5 linked regions of the Cricetulus griseus genome follow. The protein of the gene in region 2 interacts with the protein of the main gene of each other region in a pairwise test. Links are inferred from orthologs where the notes say so. Each region holds a gene or a part of one and is shown on either strand. Other genes may lie near its edges.

Region 1 (4,259 bases), about 130 Mb from region 2:
TCATTCTATAAATGAGATTTTAAACTATGTAAACTTTTGTGATTGGCTACTCTCGTGCCCACAGAAATTAGGAGATGGTGTATGATCCTCTTGAACTGGAATGATGGGTGTGAGGAACCTAACCCAGGTCCACTGCACGAAAAGCAGGTGTTCCTAACAACTGAGCCATCTCTATGGCTCTGAGACTGGCTACTTCCTTACTTACCATAAATTTGTGACTATCAACTCACGTTGTGTAAATCAATATTGTATGTTTTTGTACAACTGAGTAACCATCCACGATATAGATATCCCAAACTTTATTTATCCATCGCCAACTAAAAGATGCCTGTATTGCTTTATTTTGGCTAATTTATATACATACAAATGCAAATTCTATTTATTCATATAAGGTGTTCTGTGAAAACATTTTATTTTCTCTGGAAGAAAAACGCCCAAGAAACTGCTGAGTTACATGGTAAGGTCAACTCATGTTTAATTTCATACAAACATAAAACAAGCAACCTCTCCAAAAAGTAGTATCTTTTTTAGTATTGCTGTGCCATTTTCTATTTCTACTGACAGTAACTACATAACCTAGTGTCTCTGCATCTTCACTGCCAGGGGTATCATAATGTTTTTATTCCAGGCATTCTGATGGGTACATAGCAACATGTCACCAGGGTTTCAATCTCTCTTCCCTTAATGGGACAGAGAAATTGAGTATCTTTCCAGGTGTCTATTTATTATTATCTATTCTCCTCATAAATTATGTCTGTTGGTATTTATTCACTATCTTCCTGGATTGTTAGGGTTGTATGTTTGCTTGTTTGTTTTGATTCTATATTGATTCTTGAGATTTTTATACATGTTCATGACAGGAGTCCTTTAAGAAACTTTTGTTTTTTTGGTTTTTCGAGACAAGGTTTCTCTGTGTAGCTTTGGAGCCTATCCTGGCACTCACTCTGGAGACCAGGCTGGCCTCAAACTCACAGCGATCAGTCTGCCTCTACCTCCCATGTGCTGGGATCAAAGGCTTGTGCCACCAATGCCCTGCCTCACAAACTTTTTTTAAGTGAGTCTTAACCATACCCCATACTATTTAAAGTCTAATTTATATGACTCTGTTGTCATTTTGGCTATCAAATGACATTTTCTCAGTTTTCCTGGCTGGTAGAGTAGGTTGTATTAAAATATGGTTGAAAATATAATGGTAGATGACAAGGATGTTACTAATTACCCTAAAATGTACAAGACAAAAACAACAAAAATCCAGCCCCTGATATCACTAGTGCTGAATCTAAGAGGAAAGCTGGCTGGTCACCGTGTGTCTAAGAAAATATATTTATTTAATTTAATATAAACATGAGTTGGCTTTGAAAATGAATTTGATAGAATTGTTCCAAAAGTATTTCAGAATAGTAGATTAAAGCAATAAGAACACAGGGTGAGACTGACCTCCAAACTGCTTCTTCCAGTTGCAAGGGATCTTACATCTCTGGGTCTTCATGGTTTGCTTGCACTCAGCACCAGTGCGAGTGCCCTCCCGGGTGCCCAGTCCACAGTCCCCGCTGGTGGGCACACACACACTCCACTGCCATTCTCCACAGTCAGATTTTTTCACCTTTTTTTCTGCAAGGGAGGAAACAAAAAGCAACCACCGTCCAGAAATGTACTGAACTCTTGAATATGGCTAAGTTCACACCTCAGAACCTCGATTGTGGAGTCTATGACTTTTATCTCTATCTGTATTGTCCAGGAAGACAGTGGGATGTCTTCTCAATGATCCAGTCAATGCATGGTTAAGAGGAGAAAGAAAGAAAACATGGGGGCAGAGACGGAACTAATACTACTAAGTCATGTGTGTGATAGAGACTGTTCTACGTGAATCACTAATATTTCCTTTTAGAAAGATGTTTCTGAATGAAGGCGTTGTCCCTCTGCCTGCTCCCTGACCACCACAATATGAGCTATTCTGCCACGCGTGCCTGCAGTGACGGGCCCACACCTCTGAAACCCTAAGTGAAATAAAGCCATCTTCCTCTTAAATTCACTCCTCAAGTGTCTGAATGCAGCAACAAACAGCTAACACACTTGTGCCAGATGAAATTTGAAGATTTGTGTATCTTTGATGAAACATTTGAGAGTGTAAAATTTTACAAAAAGAAGGAAATATTTTTCATTTTTATTTTGTTTTGTTTTGTTGTTGTTGTTTGAGATGGGGTTTCTCTGTATTGCTTTGGAGACTCTTCTGGAACTCACTCTGTAAATCAAGCTGGACTCACAGAGATTCACCCGCCTCTGCCTCCTGAGTGCTGGGATTAAAGGCGTGTGCCACCAATGCCTGGCTAAGAAGGAAATATTTCTGTCAAAATAAAAAATTCTAAGTAGTTTATAAAAAGCTTGAAAAATGAGGAGGGAATGTCTATTAGAAGTAGTAGTGGTCAGACTAAAAATTTCATTGAAAATTGATGGTGTGGTTCTGTTCTGTGGGTAAAAAGGCATAATAGAAATGTGTATAGGACACAGACTAAAAGAGACCCCCAACACCACAGCCCACTCATGACTATCCAAGGGCATGTTCATTCGGGAGCAAAATGGGGCAATTTAGGGTTTCCCTAAATAATTGAAAGGATGTTAGAAACTGTGGGAGAACTATAAGCAGGTAGCTGGGCTGCCTGGGTACCATCCAAGGAAACATCTCTCTGTGACTCCACTGCTTACCGGGTTTCTCTTTCTTCCCAGCCTCAGCAGTGTCCACAGCTGCCAAGATGAAAATGAATGCCAAGAAAGCAGCTGCAAATTTTCGACGTTGCTGCTGGTACTGTTGGGATGACATTTCTGGAAATGAAGAGAACAAGAAGAAGGTGATTTCAACCTAAGTCAGGATGAAGATTCAACTCTCTGATGAAGCATGCTATGTGAAGCTTCTGGAACACTGGGTTTTAGGAAAACTGTATTGATTATTACAAAGTGTAATTTTATCCTTTCTCACCAACAGCTGCAAAAGCAGTAAATCACGTGGTCATGGGCAGAATTTAATCATTCTTCGTATCAGATTTCACAGCCATTTGTTATGTGTGACTCTGGGGTTGTGAAAGCAAGAGAACCACGTGGCATGATTTTGAGCAGATTCCTACAATCAATCCTGTTGCTTGCATCACTTGCTAATAACAACTACAGTCATCTTCAGGATGCCTGGAAGTTCCTAGAAACATTCATGGTGTTGCAGTCACAGTAATCTTCGGTACAGCCGTGACAAATGATAGTGTACAGTAGCTTGTGTGTACTGACTGTGTTTTTTATATTTAGGCATATCTACCAATGAGCAGCATTTCTGATTCTTATTTACCCATGTTCATTTTAAACATAGTATCATCCCATTGCTCATTAGAGTGAAACACAGAAATATAGAGCTGGCATGCTATAACACTAAGAATTCATAAATGGATTTTACTCAAGAACCACTAAATCCTCAGATCTGGAGAGCAGTGACTATACATGCTCAGAAATTGAAATACTGCTCATCTCACATAAGTCAAAATCCCTAGAAAACCCTAGGAAGATCCCTGTTATACTCAAAGATGCTGTGATAACCCTCCATCAAGATATTCACCTTGCCTAAGCTGCTCTGAAAAAGCCACTGATTGCAGAAACGTGGTTGATGGTCATTTACCTCCATCTGCTGTGTTAATGGTGTTGTATAGATCACACAAAAGTGTGCAAATAATCTTTGGTTATTATTAGTGTGAGCTGTATTCCTTTTTTCCAAAACTTGCAATAGATTAGCTTTTAATGATTTTACAATTTCTTTAGTAAATAATGAGACTACTCCTGTGTGTGTACTCATGTGTGCCTGGGGGTATAATATGTGTGTGTGAGTATGCACATGTATGTGCATGGGTATGCACATGTGTGTGCTGTGCTCCCTCTATTATGCATCTTGTTTTCCTAATTCATAAGTATCTAAAATATGATACCATGGTTACTAACTAATCTTGTATCAACTTCCACAATGTTAGAATTGTCACTTATTGGAGTTGTGTTTTGTTTTTCTATCAATGACTGGATTCTATAGTATGATTAAACATATTTTACCAACAAACTAAAATTAACATTTTTACCACTTTGCCCTTTAAAACATGAACCCTGCTTAATCAACACCAGTTCCATCCCCGGCAACAGTCCAGTATTAGAAGCTTTGCTCTCCCTAAAGCTGCATTCTTAGGACAGTCTCACTGAATTGCTCCATGCAAATCAGGTAGGTGACTCCTCCTCAT
Region 2 (3,519 bases):
TCATAGCATCCCAGAACTTGAAATTCTCCCAAGCCAGCTTCCCAAGTGTTGGGATGGATCACCATGGGCAGTGGGATTCTGCACTTCCAAAAAAAAAAAAAAGAGTGAAAAAAATGTTTTTATTTTATATGGATGGATGTTTTGCCTACGTATGTACTTGTGCACCGTGAGTGGAGGGCCTGTGGAGGCCAGAAGAAGGGATCAGGTCCTCTGAAACTAAAGTTACAGGTGGTTCTGAGCCACCACGTGGGTGCTAAGAAACAAGCTGGGGACCTCTGGAAGAGCAGCCAGTGCTCCTACCTGCTGATGCGTCTCTCCAGCCCCATGCATCTCTAGGATTGTGCACTTTTAAAAATGTTTTATGAGTGTAGAATGTTGTTCACTGGTAAAGTGCTTGCCTAGAGTATGTGAGGCCTAGGGTCATTTCCACCTCCACCAAAAAGAAAAAGCAAAACAAAATAAAACAGCTTTATGAATATGAGGTATGGCATCCCATATCTATAGTCCCAGCATCTAGGAAGATCTGGGGTTCAAGGCCAGCCTAACTACATGAAATTCTGTCTCAAGTAAATAAATAAACAGCGTAGCTCAGTTGGAAGACTGCTTGTTTAACATGCACAAGGCCCTGGGTTTGAGCCCCAGCAACACATAGTCGTCTGGTTCTGTAATCCCAGTACTGGGGACCCAGAGGTCATGGTCACCCTCAGCTACACATTAAGTTCAAAGCCAACTTGAGAAACATGATACCCTGTCTCCAAAACAAAACTAAATTGGATAGTTGAGAAAGACAACAAACACTCCACCTAATTCCTAGCACGCACATTAAAGCATAAAAAAGAAAAAAGAAAAAGAAAAAAACCACTGCTTTTACTAAAAGAATAAAGCATTTGGCATCCACAAACCCGGGTTCATATGCCTGCTTTGTCATTTTCTAGCAATGTGATTTTTTGTTTTGTTTTAACGAGACAGGGTTTCTCTGTATAGTTTTGGAGCCTATCCTGGCACTCACTCTGTAGACCAGGCTGGCCTCGAACTCACAGAGATCCACCTGCCTCTGCCTCCAGAGTGCTGGGATTAAAGGCGTGCGCCACCACCTGACTCTAGCAATGTGATTTTAAGTGGTCCCTCCCTGAGTTTTACTCCCTTGCTTTCACAGTCAGGTCATCCTTTATAGCAGTCGCTCACACATTTTGCCTCAGGACACAATTATTCCCTGAAAAAATGAGAGAATAAGCTGAGCGTGGAGCATACACCTGTAACCCCAACTCTCAAAAGGCAGAGGTAGGAGGATCACTGGGTTTGAGCCAGTCTGGTGTACGAGTTCTAGGCCAGCTAGGCCTACAGGTGACACGATGCCCACCCTCCCCCCAAAAAGATGCATTCATACTGTAATCCCATTACTCTAGAGATAGAAGCAGGAGGATCAAAGTCCAAGGCTAGCCTGGGCTACTAGAGACTATAAAAAACAAACATACAGAAGTTACAGAGGGTCCCTAAAGAACTTTGTTTTCGTGAGTGGGACCTTTCAGTATTCACGGCCAGAAATTAAAAACTGAAGTCTGGGCGTGGTGAGAGAGAGAGAACAAACTTAGAAGAAAATGTGGCTTTCCAGAAGATATCTTTTAATGTATGATCCTGTAGGACAGTGGGCTTATCAGGTCTGCATTGAACATCCCCTGCTACACAGCTTTCATAATAGAGTAAGTAAAAACAGTAAATTGGCATTGAGTTATGAAGACTTTCTAGTCTTTCAAGGGTTATAGGGCCACATTTTTGAGAGCTGGTGTATAGGGATATTATATTAGAATAAATGTGCCAAGGCATAAAGTAGGTGCTCAGTAAATGGTGGGTAGTCACAATGGTAGTTCAGGGAAAGAGATTTAGTTGGTAGGTGCACCAGGAAGAACAGAACAAGTTAAGGACTAGAAGTGGTGGAGATTACAGGAATGGGAAATCTGTTCCTTTTTTTTTTAGACAGGGTTTCCCTGTGTAGCTTTGGAGCCTATCCTGGAACTAGCTCTTGTAGACCAGGCTGGCCTCGAACTCACAGAGATCCGCCTGCCTCTGCCTCCCAAGTGCTGGGATTAAAAGCATGCGCCACCAACGCCCTGCTAGGAATGGGAAATCTGAAATGGCACTAATGCATAGTTTGTGAAGCCAGCTGGTTATCTCAACAACAGGTATATGTAGAAGCCAAGGAGCCTCAGCTCAGCTCAAGGTAGATGATTGCTCAGCTGTCTGCCTCTTGCTTCAAGCTCTTAAGTGAGCCTTTGTAAAACTGAGCTAGTGAAGAAGGGTCCAGAACTGCTCAGCACACAGGTCCCCATAGACCTCTGTCCTAGTTGCTGGAGGGAAGAGATTTGGTGTTACCCTTGGGCAATGTGCCATCTGATGAGGAACAGTCCCGAGTAGTCTTTGGGAGCATGGGAGAGGGACTGGGGGATCCACCCAAAGGACAGAGGAAGGAAACCTCAAGGGAACCCTTAGCCAGAGCACTGCTCCCTGGGGCTTGCTTCGATGACTCAAATGCCTCTCATCGGACCAAGGAAGTGAGCAAGAGAGTTCTGGGCATTAGAATTACGCCAAGGTGGCAGGGAAAGAGGGAGCTGGGGGCAGATGGGGTAAATTAGCCAGGTCCGACAGCCTGCAACCGCAAACCTAGCCATTCCTTACTGAGCACCTACTGGTGTTAGTGCTGAGGGTGTAAAGGTGAATTTGACATTGCCTCTGCCCCTTAACTACTCCAAGAGCAAAAATACCTCATTATATCACAGGAAGATGTATGTGAAAGGTTAGGTCACAGAACTGAAGGCAGAGACCCACATTGAGCACAAGCCAGGGAAATGGCATCTTTCCTGGGGGCTATGGCTGTCAGTCACTAGCATCAGCCAGGTGCCCTCTGCAGGGTCAGGTGAGGGTGGAGCCAGTCCCTTCATCCCCTGGGGTGGGGAGGTTCCCAGGTAAGAGCAGAGAGGGAGCCTCTCCTTGTCCCTGATTTGTTTCAGTCCTTAACCCAAAACCTTTCCCTCCTCTCAGTTTGGCAACAATCCCTTCTCTTCCCTGGCCGGGAACTCCGACAACTCATCCTCCCAACCTCTTCGGACTGAGAATCGAGAGCCCCTCCCTAACCCCTGGAGCCCCTCGCCCCCCACCTCCCAGGCCCCCGGGTCCGGTGGGGAGGGCAACGGAGGATCGGGGACCAGCCAGGTGCACCCGACAGTCTCGAACCCTTTTGGGATCAATGCGGCTAGCCTGGGGTCAGGTATGTCTTAGGGTGGAAGGAGCTTAGTGGGGTCACACTAGGGCAACCCCTCTGCCCCAGGACTGAATGGGGTTCACATTGCTTCAGTGTATATTGAAAACAGGTGAGACTGAATTAAAGCTACAGGTCTCAGTGTCCTGGGGCAATGGCCCTGCCCCCTCAGAGGAAGCTTTGTTGTGGTTGTGTCCCTGGTAGTGACCTAAGTAACAGCTCATGAGTAAACCAGGCCACACCTCCCACCTCCATGAACACTTTCC
Region 3 (2,318 bases), on a different chromosome or scaffold from region 2:
TGGGATTTCTAAAGAGGTAAGGCTTGTGTGCTACTTTAGAGCTTCTGGAACTTCACATTCGAATGAAATTGAGAAGAAATTTGTTTTCATTTGAAACACCATTAAATTCTTTAATTATATTGTATATATTTAAATATATATATATATATATATATATATATATATATATATATATATATTGCTTTTTACCTAACCTATATAAGGGAAGGAAAGCCACAAGATTACTGAACAAATTAATAGATAAAGACAGAAAACATAAATTGACTTTTGACTACATCCGGGCTTTCATTAGCTCTTACATTAGCTAGTGAATGTTATAAATAGGTAAGAAAATGCCATACGAGAGCCTTGTTTTTCCCCCTGCTATCAACTCTCAGGTAGACCTTGTTCTGCTGATCACTAGAACCGTAAGATGGCTTTAACTAAGTCAGGCAAGTTCATTAAAATGGTTACAGTTTAGAAGTCACAAACCAATTTTGAGAAACCAATAAGGAATAATTGACACCACTAGTCTTGCTACATTCAAGATACAAGATTTATTCACACCAACAAAATAATCACAACAAAATATACACTAATTATAAAAACAAAAGATTGTAGTGACATTGTTATAGATTCTCTTTTATCCATGTAAAAGCATTTTGCTTGTGTCTACATACATCTTATTCATAAAGTAATAACAATCATTAAGATGCAGTGGCCATTTGTACTTCTACAGAAAGAACAGAGGCAAAGTACTGAAGCTTTTAGGTTACAAGGGTGTTTTCATGGAGCAACAAACTAAGCTAATAGCCCCAAATATTATCTATTTTCTTCTCCACATACATATACCCACTAAACTAAGAAATGAGCAGTTAATATTCTTGCTTAGCCCTCACTAATCTTCTTCTTCTTTTTTAACTAAAAGCAAAGTAAGGAGCTGTGGTTTTGCCTCTCTTTTAATTGACCTCAGAAGATGAACTCTCTATTTCATGGGAAATACGAATTTTCAGATGGTTAATGTCTTCCTTACTCTTAGAGTCTGGAACTAGCTTGTCTTCATGGCTCTGATGTTCCTGGCTTGCTTTGGAACTTTCCTTGCTATCAATCACATCAGACAGCTCAGTGCTCTCATGACTAGCTTTCTGTTTGTGCTCCTGGGATTGCTCATGGCTGTGGGTTTCCACACTTGGTTCATCCAGCTGACTTGATTCATGGCTGGTCTTCCCAGTGCTGTCCTGATCAGAGGGCATGTTCAGACGATGGACAACCGGAATAACCTTGAGGGTGTCAACCAGCTCCTTGCTCTTCATGTGGGAGCTAAGATCCTCATCTGTAGCATCAGGATCCTGAACCAGAACAAATTGAAGAGTTATACAAACAGCTAGGGATAAGAACATTATAATCCTTTATCTCTACACTTTAGGTCAAACTGTACTAAGTATTTTTAAAACTTGATTGAAGAAGAAAAGGCACTAGCATGTACTTTGTACTTTACCAGTCACCATTGTGTCAGCCATTTCTACTTTAATAGGTATATCCTTTATGTCTGTGATAAAACTTGTAGGGTGGTCTCATAGTCTCTGATTTACATGGAAAGACATTAAAAGTTAAATCAAATAGAAAATAATAAGGCTGAGTCTAATTCAGACCCTTTTACTAAGTTCATTATAATTGTGACTTTTACAGTTCCTCTCACACACTTGGCTTCCAAATACGACCATTATATTTCACAAATAACTTCCTGCAGTAGTTATTGAACTAACATAAATGCCTATTAAATATTGCTTAGATACTGGATTTGGAAGGATAGAATTGTGTGTGATAGAGAAAATTAACAAAGATATTATGTACACTTTAAACAGGACTGCCAACATAGAAAAATAAAAAAGCTCTGTATTCAAAGACCATAAAGCAGACTTCAAATAAATGTGCAGTTCTTGGTGAATAGTGGGTGAATTTGTATACTCTGGTTTCCTAGAAGTGAGCTCAAGCCATAGTCATTCTGTGTGTCTGACAAGGGATTTACCTGGTCATCAGAAATGTGGAACTTCCTAGACTTTGACCGCAGTCCATAAGCCAAACTGTCACCTCGGCCGTTAGGGATCTCTACTGTAGGGACAGCTGGAGTGAAGACTTCTGTTTGTGTAGTAACAGTAATGGACTCATCAGACTCATCAGAATGGTGGGAATCGTCAGGATGGTCATCCTCATCTGATTCATCAGAGTCCACAGAATCCTGGCTGTTTGCATGGTCTCCGTCATCATTGTCATCATCGTCATCATCCATGTGGTCATGGCTTTCATTGGAGTTGCTTGGGAGAGTCTAAATCAAAGAT
Region 4 (3,519 bases), on a different chromosome or scaffold from region 2:
TCCTCTCTCTCAACAAAGTCTTCTGTTTTTCTTCTTCCTCTTCCTTTTCTAAAGCCCGGATGTGTTCCTCAAAGCATATTAATGCATCTTCTTTATCCATGTCTGAAGTATTTTTCAGATTAAAAAAATTGAAATATTAACAAAGAAAGCAGTTTAATTAAAGTCTTTACAAACTTCAAATTCAGTGTTTAAAAGTGTTTGTATTTGAATTTAAACATGATCTTGTAATGACACAAGTTTTGAAAGACTTCAAATCCTAGAGAATAAAGGCAAGAGCACATGCACATGACAAAATTAACGGGCTAACAGAGCAATGTTATGCTTAATTCCAAACAGATTATTTTATTGATAAAAAATTTTATTAGTTCTGTGAGTTTTGTGTGCATTTTGCTCATATTCACCACTGACTTCTTCACAGATATACACACCACTTAGCCAGCTAACTTTGTCATCCCTACCTCCCTAAACTTATTTTAAATCCACCAAGAAGAATTTGTTGGATATACGATCTTACTCTTGAGAGTAGTTGATATATCAGGAGCTATGATTGAGAAAACTGTCTCCTTTCCAGCAGCCATCAGTTGCTAAAGCTCTACAGCTAAGAGTAAGATTTTGTGGTCAACTCCATCTCCATGCTGGGATTGGATACCAGTGAGCTATAAATAGTTGATTTATTACATATTTCAAGAATTTTCTGTTAAATGTTAACTGAGATCTCTAGAAAAGTATTTTTCTAAATCAAAATTCAATTAGAAACAACCCATTTGAAAATAAAGTATTTTTTCAGAAATAGTAATCATTTTGTAAAATTTGAGCTAGCAACTGCATAAAATAGCAATTCCTCGAATTTCATACAGAAAGTAAAGAATAACTCAAGGGGTACTACTTATCATTTTTCTTATGTAGTGATTGTTCTTACTCTGTAACTCTTCATCCTCTGCAAATGTTGGATTATCCATCAGATATTGTTGGGCTTCAGACCAAGTAGTAGAGTATGTAACATTAGCCATATTGTCAAGTATGTTTTTTAAGGCTTCCCAGTTTCTCTTTCGTAACTGCTTAGCTTGTTCCTACAACAAACATTTGAATAATGCTTTTAATATTCAAACAAGATATCTAAATTATAATTACTTAAGATTCCTTTATATTCTGATAAATGTCCAAATGTTATTATATACCAAGACCCTTCATTTTGTTACTGTTTTCCAAACCTTCAGTTTTTCATCTCTCTTTGAATTCAAAATCCAAAAAAATTATATTGTTTTGTATCCTCATTTCATAAACCTATGCCTTACCAGTATTCATTACAGATATAACTAATAATGAGGGCTACTGTGTACAGTCAGTATATAAACACAAAGGCATTCCCTGATATTCAAATTTTTAGTAATATTTTCAATACTAGATGCAAAACAATTTACTGACAAACAGGAGAAAAAATGAGTTACTCATTATATCTTTTAACACAGCTTCCAATGAACAGATATGATATATACACACTAACGGAGTTAAGCAAAGAAACTGACATTATAATTTTTACTCATTTATAATAAAGAAAATCTTATTCAGAATGTTGAAATAACAACAATTTAAAAAGTACCTTTTCTTTTTTTGAGAGGAAGAACAAAACATCTTCATAGATTTCAAGACGATCACGCTCTGATATAGCATTCCAAACCTCCATCTCCCCAAACATCTGTTCGGCTTTTCTAGTGATTATGAAATCAAGGGTTACTTGATTAATGCATCAGTACAATTTTAGACTTTTTTTTTTAAAGGCACTCAATTAACACACTCTCCATTTCAAGTTTACAAATGCATTAACTCGGAAAACTTTTATGAAAATCAATAAAATATTAACAGAAGAGCAAAGTCTCTATTTTCTCTTAGGACAATTCACATTAGGTAATGCTTTGCAATGTAAATAGCCCCTTTCCCCCAAGTCACCTTCTGCAGACTATAAAACAGTAACAGTTAATGTATTATGTCTATTCCCTAACACCTCAAGTGAGCCTATAAGTTACTGATTTTTTTGGCTATCTTATAAAACTGCCACATGCTCATTTACCCAGCTGTTTCATGACCATCCATTTTGGATGAGTTAGCAAGAAGTACGACACAAACAACAGGGGGAACATTGCCTCCATCATTAAAAATCTTACTTGTATCTGGTTGTGGAAGTCATTTTCTCATGATTTTCAAGAAAACGCTGAAAGGATTCCTTAGCTTCCTTGTATTTTGATCTTGCTTCTTCTTTTTCCTCTTTCTCGGTCTGGACTTTATAGGCATTAAAGGCCTGCTTTTTCTCACTCAGCTTTGCTAAAGCACTAAATAACAGAAAATATCAGACAAGAATAAATATAAAGGCTGGAGAATAAAATGTTACTGCTTTAGAAAAATGTTTGACGCATACATTAAGAAAATATCTAATTTACTGAAGATATACAATTATTTTAAACAGCAAATTCTAGTGTTCAGTGATTATAATTTCATTTGGAGCAAGGTGCTCAAATTGTAGGACAACCCTTTTGGATTTCTGGCTATAGAACACATAAAATACCTCTATTTAAAATAATTATATACCTATGAACAGCTGTGTATTATAAAGTTAAACTGTTGAACATAACTTTAAATGCCCTAAGATTAATGTAAAGTTAATTCTAAAGTCATTGTATTACCTGTACCGAGGATCATTAATGATCATTTTCATAGCTTGTTCCCATGAAGCATTGGAAGGTACCCGCTGAAAATTATTTAAAGGGAAAATTAAAATTTTATACAACAGAGACAATGGTTATCATAGGAAAGCAAGTTTAACACTCATTGCAAATATCAAGCACCTCCCCCTTTGCAGATTTTTTTTTACAATCTAAAACCATTTTCAATGAAGCAAATTTATGATACACACTTATTGACTAAAAAGAAAATTCACACTGAAATTGAAACAGTATTTTTTCCGCATTAGATCACCAACTAAAAGACAAGCAATAATTTAAATAAAAAATCTTATACATCAAGGCAAAAATATGATTGTGAAATAATACCTTGTTGAGTTTCCAAAAGCATTCTTCAATAAAAACACAACAAATTTACTTTGTTTTCAGTTAAAACAGTTCAAGTAATTAGTATTTTAAATAAAGGCACCAAAGCGAACATTTATTAGGAAATTATTATGTGTTACTTAAAAAGATTATAATACCTTTTCTTTCAATAATTCTTTAAATGCTTGCTTTGCCTCCTCCTTTGTATTCCAAGTATATGTTTTTTTTGCTGGTTGGCTCTCTTCCTCTTCTTTTTTAGGAGTAAAACTAGAGAGAGAGAAATTTAAACATGCTATTCATAATTTCAGGAACTAATTTCTGCTTAGGAAATCATTTAACTGATGCTGACCTAAAACTTGACAATTTTGAGAGAAATTTTCTTATATGAACCCTGAAAATAAAACTATCTGAAGACAGGAAATAAATTTACAGATATAAGGCCCTGTAAAAAGGCCAAATATAAGGGGGAAATCACACT
Region 5 (3,977 bases), on a different chromosome or scaffold from region 2:
ACATGAGTGATCAGGGCCGGAGTAAGTGTACAGAAAACTAACACCACTGACAGTATCTGTATGATGAGAGAGGCAGACAGGCAGGAGGCTTTTCAGCCTCCTATGGAAGGGAGCATTCAAGCCCATTTATTTGCAAAGCTGCTAAAATATTGACTGATGCATGGCCAGTTAGAGGACAATCAGAGGAGATTAAATGCCACAGCTAAACTGTTATGGTGCAATCCCTTCCCAAGAGTTCGTGCACATGTTTTTCTTTTGGTGGCTACCTCTAGCTTCCACTAGCATAAACTTCATTCAAAAATAAAATAAAAATAAACTCTCGGCTGTCAAACTGTCTTAGCTACCTACCCACCATCAAGAAACCAGAGGGTGGGCTTAACTTAGGGCTTCTAGGAACTGCAGGGCTTTTCAGAAAACCAAATAGAAATAGCTTGCAAACACTACTGAAAAGTAACCAGCTGTGCCTAAAAATAACCAGCATGTAACTACCTTGTTGTGTACGACCTATAGCAATGATGTTTAAATATTAAGGGGAGCTTGCATTATAAAACAGAAATGTCACTGAGATGAGACTAGATTGCCACAGGGAAACATATTGCACACACACAGTCCTCTGCATGCAAGGGTGAGAACTCTACTGTAAGGCACTACTTTTTATTCTGTAGGTGGTGTGGGGTCTTCTAATTTTACTAATTGTATCCTGTGGCTCTCTCTGAGAAGCTAAGAAATCTCTTCGGGGACAGAACCAGTTTGGAGGAGTTCCTACTGCACAACATACGGTAAACAAAATAAAAATAGCTTGCCTTTCTTGTTAGCCACATAGAGCATTATATAACCAGCTTCCGACTGGCTTTTTTTTTTTTTCGCCCTTACTACTCTTCAGCAATTTCCCAACCTTCCCAAGTATTTATATTACCCTCTTATCTGTAGGATTATGCAGAAAGAAAGCAAAACAAAACAGGACAGCCACGGGATCGAACTGAACTCCACCGTCTTAAAACCCTGATTTTTTTTTTTTTTTTCTGGCAGAGTCTAGATCACCATCCTACTTCCACCCCCCACCACTAAGGTCCTTGCTCAATCTCCCTAGAAAACCTGAATTGTTTCACCGCTTCCAGTCAGCTCTACGTGGTCTGAAATAAAATGAAAGCGCACAAGCCCCAGAGTTGAAGGAGGTGGCTAAGGAGAAGTCGAGGCGCTGCAGAGTCAGCCAAAGGACCACCGCGGGACCCCTCCCCATCTCGGAGGCTCTGGTCCCCACTCGGCGCGAGAACACACGCACACATACACACCTACACACTCACAGGCTCTCACTCCCTCCTCTCCGACCCCGCCTCACCTCTCGCTCCGCCCGTCCGGCCCCTTCCCTGCCCCCTGCGGGACCGGCCTGCGCGCTCCGTTGCAACCACGTAGGAGGCGCGGCGGCCGCGGCAGCCACGGCAGAGGCGGCGTCTCGGGCTCGGAGTGAACGAGCCGCGGGGCTCCGGGGCGCATCCCAATCCCCGCAGCGCCTCCTCCTCCGCCGCCTCCTCCTTCCCCTCCTCCCATCTTCATTCACCCTCCCTGCCGCCGCGCAGCCGAGCAGTCCCGGAGCAGGGCAGAGCCCCTCCTCGGCTGCTGCCTCGGGCGCCGGCTGGGACGCCGGGCCGGGCCGGGCTGGGAAGCTCGGGCTCCGGCTCCGGCAGCGGCGGCGGCGGCGGCGGCTGCTTTGGATCAGGAAGCGGCCGCACCAACAGGGCGGCGGTGGCGGCGGCTGCAGCCAGGGCCCGTCCCCGCCGCCACTCCCGCTGCGCTCCGATAGCCTGCGCGCCCCTGCCCCCTGCGCCGCCACCTCTCCTCTCCCCCAGGCCGTGCGCAAAGTCCCCGGTCCCCAGAGGCTGGCCTGGGCGGGGAGACCCCAGTCTTGGGGTCGCCTCGCACAAGCTAGGCGACCCCGGGCGGGGAAGCCCAGCCCTCCCTCGAGTCCCCGCGGCGCTCACCGCCCCCTCCCGGGAGGGAGAATTTGCAAAAGCGAAGAGGGCAGCGCGACCCTCAGCCGCTGCCGCCTCCCCCTGCGCCACCAGGAGGGAGGAGGACCAGGCTCTCGGCTCTCGCCGCCGCCGGGCCAGCAGCAGCCTGAGCGGGGCGCCGCCGCTCTCCCCACCCGCGCCCCTTGCCCGGGCGCGCCCCCTCTCCTGGGGGCGGCCCACCCCTGGCTGCTCCCCGGGCCCGCTGCTCCAGCGCCCAGAGTGGGGTCCCGAGCCGGGAGGCTGGAGCCCGGCAGGGGTATATGTACACACACTCACACACACGCGCGCGCGCACACGCACACACACACACACACACACTCACACACACACACACACGCACACACACCACGACGCGTCGGTTTCCTTCGCTCCTCTTCCAGCTGTTTTCCTTGTAGCCCATTGAGACTGGGGGAGGGGAGATTGTACGCTGGATGTTCTTTGGCCCCTCTCCGGAGAGAGAGGATTGGGGTGAGGGAGGGGGTGATTTTAATCTAAATCGAGGGGGGGGGAGAGGAGGAAGGGGGAGGGGGAGAGAAAGAATCAGAGGAGGAAAAAAAATAGCCACTTACTGTAAAGTGTAAATGGATCTGGGGTTGCGTGGGGAAGGGGGGACAGAGGGAGAGACACAGTGTCCTGCGGCTGCTGTAGCTCTAGCTGCGGCTCCACAGGGCTTGTTTTGGATCCCCCTGCAGTGAAACAGGTCCTGTACGGCTCCGCCACTGTAGTAGAAATGATGTCTGCGGTATACTCTGCTCTCTCCTCCTCCTCCTCCCCCCTCCCCTCCCTCCTCCCTCCGCCCGCCCTCCCTCCCTCGCGCTCTCTCTCGCGCTCGCTCGCTCGCTCCAGTATGTAAATGTGTAATAGAAGCCAAATATGGAGCAGTTGGCTGCCGCCGCCACAGCTCAAGGATCCGACTTCATGGGGGGGGGGGGGCACCCTCTGGCAGGCGGCCCGGCGAGCCGCACAGAGCACGGCGAGCGCACGGCGCGGCTGCCGGCCCGCGCCCTTAACCCTTCTGTGCACCCGGCCGGAGCAGCGGTCCCTCCCTCCAGGGGAGGCCCGGTGCCTCTCCCTAACTGCGGCTCCGGATCCCGGACATCGGCCCGTGGGGACTGTGCCTTCCAGGTTTGAGAAAGGGGAGGGGAAGTTGGGGCGATGAGGTCATTGGAGTGGTGACCCGTCGGAGCTCGCGCGCCTCCCCGTCTCCTTGCAACCTAGTTGGAGGGGACAGGGCGAGTGTAGGGTGCAACGCTCGCAGCCTGGAGGACTCACCGCAGCGGGTGTCAGGCTTCGGTTCCCACCTGGTAAAATAAGCAAGGATGCGGGGAAGTCGGCTGACTCTAATCCCGAAGTGACCTTGGTGCCCCCACCCCGCCACCCCGGTGTGTGTCTAAGAGGACTCACTGTATCCTCGCTGTTAACCCTCCAGCCGGTGAGCCCTGAGCAACCCGACTCTGGGCCCGCGCCTTGGCTTGCAACTCGGGAAAGTTCTCAGGCTTCCTCAGTTTGCACTGGCGCCCTCACCTTTCCTGCCCGGACAAGCTGGCAGCCTCCCGACCCTCCTATCTAATTCTGCAGGTCTAGAAATCTGCAGTAGGAATCAGACGTCTCAGTTCTAGCTCTGGGAGCCGACCTGCTCACTCCTTTCTCAGCTAACAGGGAATCACTCATTTCATCGGAAGTGAGGTAACCGGTGCCCCGACCATTCGATGGCGGTTCTCGGGAATCCACGGCAAAGGAACTTTCCCTGGTCCTGGTGGCTGAACGCAGACATAGAGTCCCCCCACCCACCCCCTCCGCTACAGCACTGCCAGGTGTGAGCTCGGTGGGAAGGAATCTTCCCCGGAGGAGTGTACCTTGCCAACAGGTGTGGCACCCGGAGAAAGAGCGGGCACAACCCTACAAGGGTCGCTCAGTGCCGAGTTCCCTTTGCTGCAGATAATTCTCGAAAACCAGTAGGTGTCAGGC

Evidence for each region.
Region 1: the proteins of Ubqln4 (region 2) and Ptn interact in a two-hybrid assay, tested with the Homo sapiens proteins (2 studies listed by BioGRID and IntAct). The link is inferred for Cricetulus griseus from reciprocal best matches to the Homo sapiens genes UBQLN4 and PTN.
Region 3: the proteins of Ubqln4 (region 2) and Spp1 interact in a two-hybrid assay, tested with the Homo sapiens proteins (2 studies listed by BioGRID and IntAct). The link is inferred for Cricetulus griseus from reciprocal best matches to the Homo sapiens genes UBQLN4 and SPP1.
Region 4: the proteins of Ubqln4 (region 2) and Prpf40a interact in a two-hybrid assay, tested with the Homo sapiens proteins (2 studies listed by BioGRID and IntAct). The link is inferred for Cricetulus griseus from reciprocal best matches to the Homo sapiens genes UBQLN4 and PRPF40A.
Region 5: the proteins of Ubqln4 (region 2) and Atxn1 interact in binary tests that used the Homo sapiens proteins (3 or more experiments, as listed by UniProt). The link is inferred for Cricetulus griseus from reciprocal best matches to the Homo sapiens genes UBQLN4 and ATXN1.

Annotation. Positions count from the first base shown.
Region 1 is NW_023276806.1:191,420,679-191,424,937, reverse strand, and holds the start of Ptn (pleiotrophin), read right to left. Parts: upstream 2,819-4,259; coding exon 2,704-2,818; intron 1,612-2,703; coding exon 1,438-1,611; intron 1-1,437.
Region 2 is NW_023276806.1:65,945,879-65,949,397, reverse strand, and holds part of Ubqln4 (ubiquilin-4), read left to right. Parts: intron 1-3,036; coding exon 3,037-3,262; intron 3,263-3,519. UniProt on the Homo sapiens protein: Regulator of protein degradation that mediates the proteasomal targeting of misfolded, mislocalized or accumulated proteins.
Region 3 is NW_023276807.1:166,257,101-166,259,418, reverse strand, and holds the end of Spp1 (osteopontin), read right to left. Parts: intron 2,306-2,318; coding exon 2,009-2,305; intron 1,329-2,008; coding exon 939-1,328; 3' UTR 518-938; downstream 1-517. UniProt on the Homo sapiens protein: Major non-collagenous bone protein that binds tightly to hydroxyapatite. Appears to form an integral part of the mineralized matrix. Probably important to cell-matrix interaction.
Region 4 is NC_048599.1:121,221,622-121,225,140, reverse strand, and holds part of Prpf40a (pre-mRNA-processing factor 40 homolog A), read right to left. Parts: intron 3,309-3,519; coding exon 3,200-3,308; intron 2,744-3,199; coding exon 2,679-2,743; intron 2,328-2,678; coding exon 2,163-2,327; intron 1,710-2,162; coding exon 1,601-1,709; intron 1,071-1,600; coding exon 920-1,070; intron 103-919; coding exon 1-102.
Region 5 is NC_048596.1:265,665,688-265,669,664, forward strand, and holds the start of Atxn1 (ataxin-1), read right to left. Parts: upstream 2,801-3,977; 5' UTR 2,579-2,800; intron 1,499-2,578; exon of another isoform or gene 1,340-1,498; intron 1-1,339. UniProt on the Homo sapiens protein: Chromatin-binding factor that repress Notch signaling in the absence of Notch intracellular domain by acting as a CBF1 corepressor. Binds to the HEY promoter and might assist, along with NCOR2, RBPJ-mediated repression. Binds RNA in vitro.